2 linked regions of the Xenopus tropicalis genome follow. The protein of the gene in region 1 purifies or fractionates together with the protein of each later gene. This does not show direct contact. Links are inferred from orthologs where the notes say so. Each region holds a gene or a part of one and is shown in the gene's direction. Other genes may lie near its edges.

Region 1 (3,757 bases):
GGTGGTGGTGGGGTTAGCAAACCCGCTGAGGGTTCTGGGAGTTGCAGTTCAAGGCTTTGAATTGTTCCAATCTGCTGTGTTCAGGGGTAAGCGAACCCACTGAGGGTTCTGGGAGTTGCAGTTCAAGGCTTTCAATCGCTCCAATGTGCTGTGTTCAGGGGTAAGCGAACCCGCTGAGGGTTCTGGGAGTTGCAGTTCAAGGCTTTCAATCGCTCCAATGTGCTGTGTTCTGGGGTAAGCGAACCCGCTGAGGGTTCTGGGAGTTGCAGTTCAAGGCTTTCAATCGCTCCAATGTGCTGTGTTCTGGGGTAAGCGAACCCGCTGAGGGTTCTGGGAGTTGCAGTTCAAGGCTTTCAATCGCTCCAATGTGCTGTGTTCTGGGGTAAGCGAACCCGCTGAGGGTTCTGGGAGTTGCAGTTCAAGGCTTTCAATCGCTCCAATGTGCTGTGTTCAGGGGTAAGCGAACCCGCTGAGGGTTCTGGGAGTTGCAGTTCAAGGCTTTCAATCGCTCCAATGTGCTGTGTTCAGGGGTAAGCGAACCCGCTGAGGGTTCCTGGGAGTTGCAGTTCAAGGCTTTCAATCGCTCCAATGTGCTGTGTTCAGGGGTAAGCGAACCCGCTGAGGGTTCTGGGAGTTGCAGTTCAAGGCTTTCAATCGCTCCAATGTGCTGTGTTCTGGGGTAAGCGAACCCGCTGAGGGTTCTGGGAGTTGCGGTTCAAGGCTTTTAATTGTTCCAATCTGCTGTGTTTAGGGGTAAGCGAACCCGCTGAGGCTGATGGGATGTGTAGTTCTGTAATGGCTGGAAGTGGCTTGGGTCAGTGCTGGAGGGTTGCAGGGAGTTATATTGGTGACTGATATTGGCGAACCCGCTGAGGGTTCTGGGAGTTGCAGTTTAAGGCTTTCCATTGCTCCAATCTGCTGTGTTCTGGGGTAAGCAAACCCGCTGAGGGTTCTGGGAGTTGCAGTTCAAGGCTTTCAATCGCTCCAATGTGCTGGGTTCTGGGGTAAGCGAACCCGCTGAGGGTTCTGGGAGTTGCGGTTCAAGGCTTTCAATTGTTCCAATCTGCTGTGTTTAGGGGTAAGCGAACCCGCTGAGGCTGATGGGATGTGTAGTTCTGTAATGGCTGGAAGTGGCTTGGGTCAGTGCTGGAGGGTTGCAGGGAGTTATATTGGTGACTGATATTGGCGAACCAGCTGAGGGTTCTGGGAGTTGCAGTTCAAGGCTTTTAGTCGCTCCAATGTGCTGTGTTCAGGGGTAAGCGAACCCGCTGGGGCTGATGGGATGTGTAGTTCTGTAATGGCTTGGGTCAGAGCCGGAGGGTTGCAGGGAGTTATATTGACTGACAGCTCTGCTGTGTCCCCAGATGCCTCACGTCAAGCAGCCGGTTGGGGGGGGGGGGGGACAGGGCCATGATTTGAGTTTTCCTTTCCCTTTAGGCTCCTCCCCTGGCCCCGCCCAGGGGCTGGCAGTTGCGAGTGGATGTAACTGGGAGCCACTGGGCACAGCAGACTGTCAGAGGCGGAGAAGGAAAGCAGATCCCTGCGCACTGACAGCCCCCCGTGTATTCGCCAAGAGCCATGGAGACCCCCGGGCAGAAGCGGGCGACCCGCAGCACCCACACCCCACTCTCCCCCACCCGCATCACCCGCCTGCAGGAGAAGGAAGACCTGCAGGAACTCAACGACCGATTGGCCGTCTACATCGACAAGGTGCGCTCCTTGGAGTCGGAGAACGCCGGGCTGCGCCTGCGCATCACTGAGTCCGAAGAGGTGGTCAGTCGCGAGGTGTCGGGCATCAAGGGGGCCTACGAGGCGGAACTGGCGGACGCCCGCAAAACTCTCGACTCGGTGGCCAAGGAGAGGGCTCGCCTGCAGCTGGAGCTCAGCAAGATCCGCGAGGAGCACAAGGAGCTGAAAGCGAGGTAGGACCCGGGGGTGCCAGGACTGTGTGCCAGCGGGATGGGGTGGGGGTCGGTTACACTGGGCTCCTTGGCACCGGGATGGAAATGTGAGCCCAGCCCATAGGAGTCATAGGATGTGTAGGAATGCCCACGCCTGGGGCAAACCTGACTCATGCCAGGGCTACTGGGAGAGGATTGGTGTTATCAGACCTGCCTGTAGGGGGCGCCGCTTGTCTTCAGCAGCAGCGACTCCATTGCATCCCACAGGGTGTCTATTCCTTATTAGTCCCACCGGCCCTGCAGGGAGGCAGTTCCCTGTATCTACTCCCCTTACTTTATTAGTCCCACCACCCCTGCTGGGAGGTAGTTCCCTGTATCTATGCCCCTTACTGTATTAGTCCCACCACCCCTGCTGGGAGGCAGTTCCCTGTATCTACCCCCCTTACTGTATTAGTCCCACCACCCCTGCTGGGAGGCAGTTCCCTGTATCTACCCCCCTTACTGTATTAGTCCCACCGGCCCTGCTGGGAGGCAGTTCCCTGTATCTATGCCCCTTACTGTATCAGTCCCACCGGCCCTGCTGGGAGGCAGTTCCCTGTATCTATGCCCCTTTCTGTAAAGTAGCACTTCCCTATGTTCCCTTTCAGCCTCCCCCCCTATTCCTTTACTGTATCAGTCCCACCGGCCCTGCTGGGAGGCTGTTCCCTGTATCTATGCCCCTTACTGTATCAGTCCCACCGGCCCTACTGGGAGGCAGTTTCCTGTATCTATGCCCCTTACTGTATCAGTCCCACCGGCCCTGCTGGGAGGCAGTTCCCTGTATCTATGCCCCTTACTGTATTAGTCCCACCGCCACTGCTGGGAGGCTGTTCCCTGTATCTACTCCCCTTTCTGTAAAGTAGCACTTCCTTATGTTCCCCCCCAGTCCTTTACTGTCCCACCGGCCCTGCTGGGAGGCAGTTCCCTGTATCTACCCCAGTGGGTGTTTTTACATTGATGTATGAGCAGCGCGCGCCACGTGCCGAGTATCTCACACCAGTGAGCTCATTCCAATATAAATACTCCCCGTGCCGCGTGGTGTTGTCCCTACTGTGCTGGGAGTCTGTGCCGGGGAGTCACCGGCTAAAATAGGAAACAAAGTTATTTGTGCGGTGCCCACCCACCATTGGGAGACCCTGTGCCCCCACAACTCAGAGGGTAAGGGTGGCAGCTGTGCGTTTAGGGCTCTCTTTGGATTGGTTCATTGGTACCCGGGGCAGTTGCAGGTTCTATAAATGCCCCTTACCCTGACTCTGCCCCAAGTGGTGCCCCGGCATTGGTGCCACCGTATCTGTATATTCCATATGGGCATTGGTGCCACCGTATCTGTATATTCCATATGGGCATTGGTGCCACCGTATCTGTATATTCCATATGGGCATTGGTGCCACCGTATCTATATATTCCATATGGGCATTGGTGCCACCTTATCTATATATTCCATATGGGCATTGGTGCCACCGTATCTATATATTCCATATGGGCATTGGTGCCACCGTATCTATATATTCCATATGGGCATTGGTGCCACCGTATCTATATATTCCATATGGGCATTGGTGCCACCGTATCTATATATTCCATATGGGCATTGGTGCCACCGTATCTATACCATATGGGCATTGGTGCCACCGTATCTGTATATTCCATATGGGCATTGGTGCCACTAGAGTAGGGTGTGCCACTTTGTGCCCAGCCTGTTTATCCCTTCCTGCCATGCCTATCCATGCCACCCTGCCCATAGGGGCATACCCACAATGCCACGGGAAACCCCTGTGCCCCATTAAGTGCCACACAAAACAATATTTGGCAGCCAT
Region 2 (3,657 bases), on another chromosome or scaffold:
AAGAAGCCCCCGCTGCTAAATAATCTAGAGTACATACAGGTACATCTGAAAGCTCCTGTCCCCTCCCCCCCCCCAGCCAGTGCAGCTTGTACTAAATAGCCTGTCGTGTACTTAAATGTCCCCTATTCTGTGTGGCAGGCTAAAGTGCAGATGCTGGATAATCTGCTTGACATTGAAGTTGCATACAGCCTGTTGAGAGGCGGCGCCGATGATGGAGAAAAAGATCCCATTGATGTGAAATATGAAAAGATTAAGACTGACATTAAGGTAAACGAATAATTGGGGTTTTAAATGCACAAACCATTACTTTTTCCTTTATTGTACTCACCCGGTCCTGCTGTATATCTAAATGTTCCCTCTGCCCTAGGTTGTCGATAAAGAATCGGAAGAATCTAGAATAATACGTGACTATGTGAAGAACACGCACGCCGAGACGCACAATGCCTACGATCTTGAGGTCCTCGAGGTAAGTCCACTTTGTATATTATTAACTGCAGGTTCTGACTCTTGAAACAGTGCGGCCAAAGTTATATTTCCTCCAGCTAAGACTCCATTTCCCACTATGCCTTGCATACTGCTTCACAGGCATTAGTCAGACCCAGCAGTGCAGAAAAAAGTAAGGGACGTGGATACAGCTTTCAATAGCAATTGCATTTACACACAACTTTTACACCGGTAAAAATGTGCAATAAATATATATTAAGAAGTTGCTTAGAAATAGCTTTTCTTTCATTAGGCAAAACTTTGAGTTTACTTTCCCTTTAAATGTAAGCTTCATTAACTGTGTTGAATGTGGTTATTTCTGAACATTTTCCTTTCGTCTCTCTCCTTATCTTTCATCCCAAAGATATTCAAAATCGAGCGTGAAGGTGAATATCAGCGGTATAAGCCATTCAAACAGCTACACAACCGCCAGCTGCTTTGGCACGGATCCCGAACCACAAATTTTGCAGGGATATTGTCTCAGGGTCTCCGAATTGCTCCACCGGAAGCTCCCGTTGTAAGTACTGGGTTAGAGGCAACTCTAATGTATCCTGTCAAGAGCATGGTGCTCTGGGGGCATCTAATCAGGAAGCCAGTGCTAATGACTTCGATATGCCACGCCCTCCTAAGCTTAGCCTCTCAGCAGCAGCCCACTGAGCATGTGCAGTGCCACTGACACACAAAAGGTGGCCTAACAAGATCCAGGACAGGGGAGCTCCTCCAAACAATTTTGAAGGCCTGTTACAGGGCTGCTGAACCTCTGGGCTGTGTTGTACCATGTGTGGGCTGTAAGCTCATTATATAAAAAAGGGTAGTTAAGAGTTGTCTATAGGAAATATACAGCCCTGTGTATACAAACTGCATTCTACAATCAGGTGTTAGTAAATTGTGCCAGTAACCTGTTAATAGATGTATGCACAGATGTTTGATTTTCTTAATGCAGATTTACTCACATTGTTCTGATCCTTTCTCCCCACAGACTGGCTATATGTTTGGCAAAGGTATCTATTTTGCCGATATGGTATCCAAAAGTGCCAACTATTGTAATGCAATGCCGGGTAATCCCATTGGGCTGATCTTACTGGGAGAGGTGGCCCTTGGTAACATGTAAGTAACAGCTATTATTTTCATAGCATATATATTAAATGCCATGTTTGTGATTTGTTCTGCACCACTCTAGACTGGAAGTTTAAACTGTTAGCTGGCTGGGTCACTGACCCTAGCAACCAGGCAGTGGTTGGTAAAGGGCAGCTACAAAGCTGTTTAGGTAACTACCACCTGCGGGGTACTTTCACAATGTTCACTTTTGATTTCTTGTCGTTTGTCTGTATTAGGCATGAGCTGAGAGCAGCATCACACATTACGAAACTACCCAAGGGCAAACACAGTGTCAAAGGTAAGTGGCCCTGTGTCTTAGTGCACAAATATCCATCAGGTTCCATTCTCTTGAACTGTTTAGTACAAAGGAATACCTATACTGTTATAGCTGTAAATTGTGTCTCTGTAGGTGCTATAAGCAGGGCTATATTTATGATATAGGTACCTAAGGGCCATAGGGTGCCTAAATAGAAAAAAAATGCTTATTTGCTTATCATGTAGGGGAAAGGTAAGCCAGTGAACAGTGCAGACCTGGGGGAGACTGAAACTGCAAGCTCACCAGTCATTATCACCTTCATAGAGGTTGGAGGGAAAAATGCCCGTAATTGTTTATTACACAGAATTAATGGAGATTTACCGTTATAAAAAAAACAAAAACAAACCTCAGCTACACTGATCTGAACAGAGATGTAAAGTTGCAAAAAAAACAAATACAATTACTCTTAAGGTTTTGACACTAATCAATTTATAGATTGTTTCAAGATTTACTATGTGGCTGGTCAGTCTGTTCATTAATCATTGAGCTTTTGCTACATTGTTTTAGGGTGAAGACACATGGAGCTACTTAGTAGCAGCTACTTGTCACGGCTACAAAAAAGACATTTACTGATAATTGTCTCTACGTGTGTCTTAGCAGAGGCAATTCTCAGTATTGTCTATGGCAGGGGATTTTCTGGAGTTTAGTAGCCATGAAAAAGTAGCTGCTACTAGTAGCCCAGTGTGTCTTCACCCTTGGGGGTTTGTGCTAGTACTGCAGAGAATATAATTAGTATACTAGTTAGACACTGCTTTCAGTAGGAATTACATTTACAAATAACATTGGGCCCACTGAAACCTATTAATGAATGTATATTGTAAAGTTAGAGAGAGAGTTGCTTTCATTGTGCAAAGACATTTTTTGGGTGGAGTTGCCCTTTAAACCTCCAGCAAACTAAGAACTTTACATACGGGATTGGTTCTGGCAAATAGATTCTGATACAGATTTCCCTCTTTTCTTTAGGTTTGGGTAGAACCGCGCCTGATCCCTCAGCTACTGTAAAACTGGATGGAGTGGACGTTCCTCTTGGGAAAGGAAGTGCTACAAATATCACTGACGCCAGTCTGTTATATAACGAGTATCCTTTTCTGCTGTTTGAGCTCGTCCTCTGCCTTATATTTACCTTTGTTAGACCTTTTCTACCCTACTACCCTGGTAATGCTAAATCTAATGTCCTGCTTGTACACACACAAGGGATATTCTGTACACACAAGCTGTAACTTCATACTATACTGATTGTGGGAAACAGTATGGCAGTACCCACCTGTATGTGCAAATACAAAAGTACTGAAAAGGTGTGATCTTATATGATCTACCTTTACTAAGAGAAACAATATAGCAGCTTCCATGTCTTTGTGTAACTTCAAATCTGCAATGGTTGGATACAGCCTCTGCCACAAGGAGGCAGGATTCTAGAACAGCTGCGGCACTTAAAGGGGTAGCTCACCTTTTGAGTTAACTTTTTTTTTTAATTCAGGTAGAGTTTATTGAGTGAATAATTAGTTACAATGATTGAGATATACAATAGGTAAGTAATACAACATCAGTTAGAACTTTCCAGAAGAAAAGAAGAACCGAAATGGCGTACAATCTATCCATTTTGGGTATATTGCTAATATATGCACAAGAATACAAGAGTAAGTTTATGCTCTTGCTCGTTTTGTACACTGGGAAGAGGATGCTTATCCAGCCATTGGTCCCAAATTTAATGAAATTTACTTGAACTCCCTCTTTTGAGATAAATCAGTTGTAGCCTCAGT

The links.
Region 2: the proteins of lmna (region 1) and parp1 purify together in Homo sapiens (affinity purification with western blotting; 3 studies listed by BioGRID, with this or other methods). This does not show direct contact. The link is inferred for Xenopus tropicalis from reciprocal best matches to the Homo sapiens genes LMNA and PARP1.

The regions. Positions count from the first base shown.
Region 1 is NC_030684.2:142,968,109-142,971,865, reverse strand, and holds the start of lmna (lamin), read left to right. Parts: upstream 1-1,531; 5' UTR 1,532-1,578; coding exon 1,579-1,922; intron 1,923-3,757.
Region 2 is NC_030681.2:8,009,274-8,012,930, forward strand, and holds part of parp1 (poly [ADP-ribose] polymerase 1), read left to right. Parts: coding exon 1-39; intron 40-138; coding exon 139-267; intron 268-367; coding exon 368-466; intron 467-847; coding exon 848-1,000; intron 1,001-1,462; coding exon 1,463-1,590; intron 1,591-1,817; coding exon 1,818-1,879; intron 1,880-2,860; coding exon 2,861-2,975; intron 2,976-3,657. UniProt on the Homo sapiens protein: Poly-ADP-ribosyltransferase that mediates poly-ADP-ribosylation of proteins and plays a key role in DNA repair.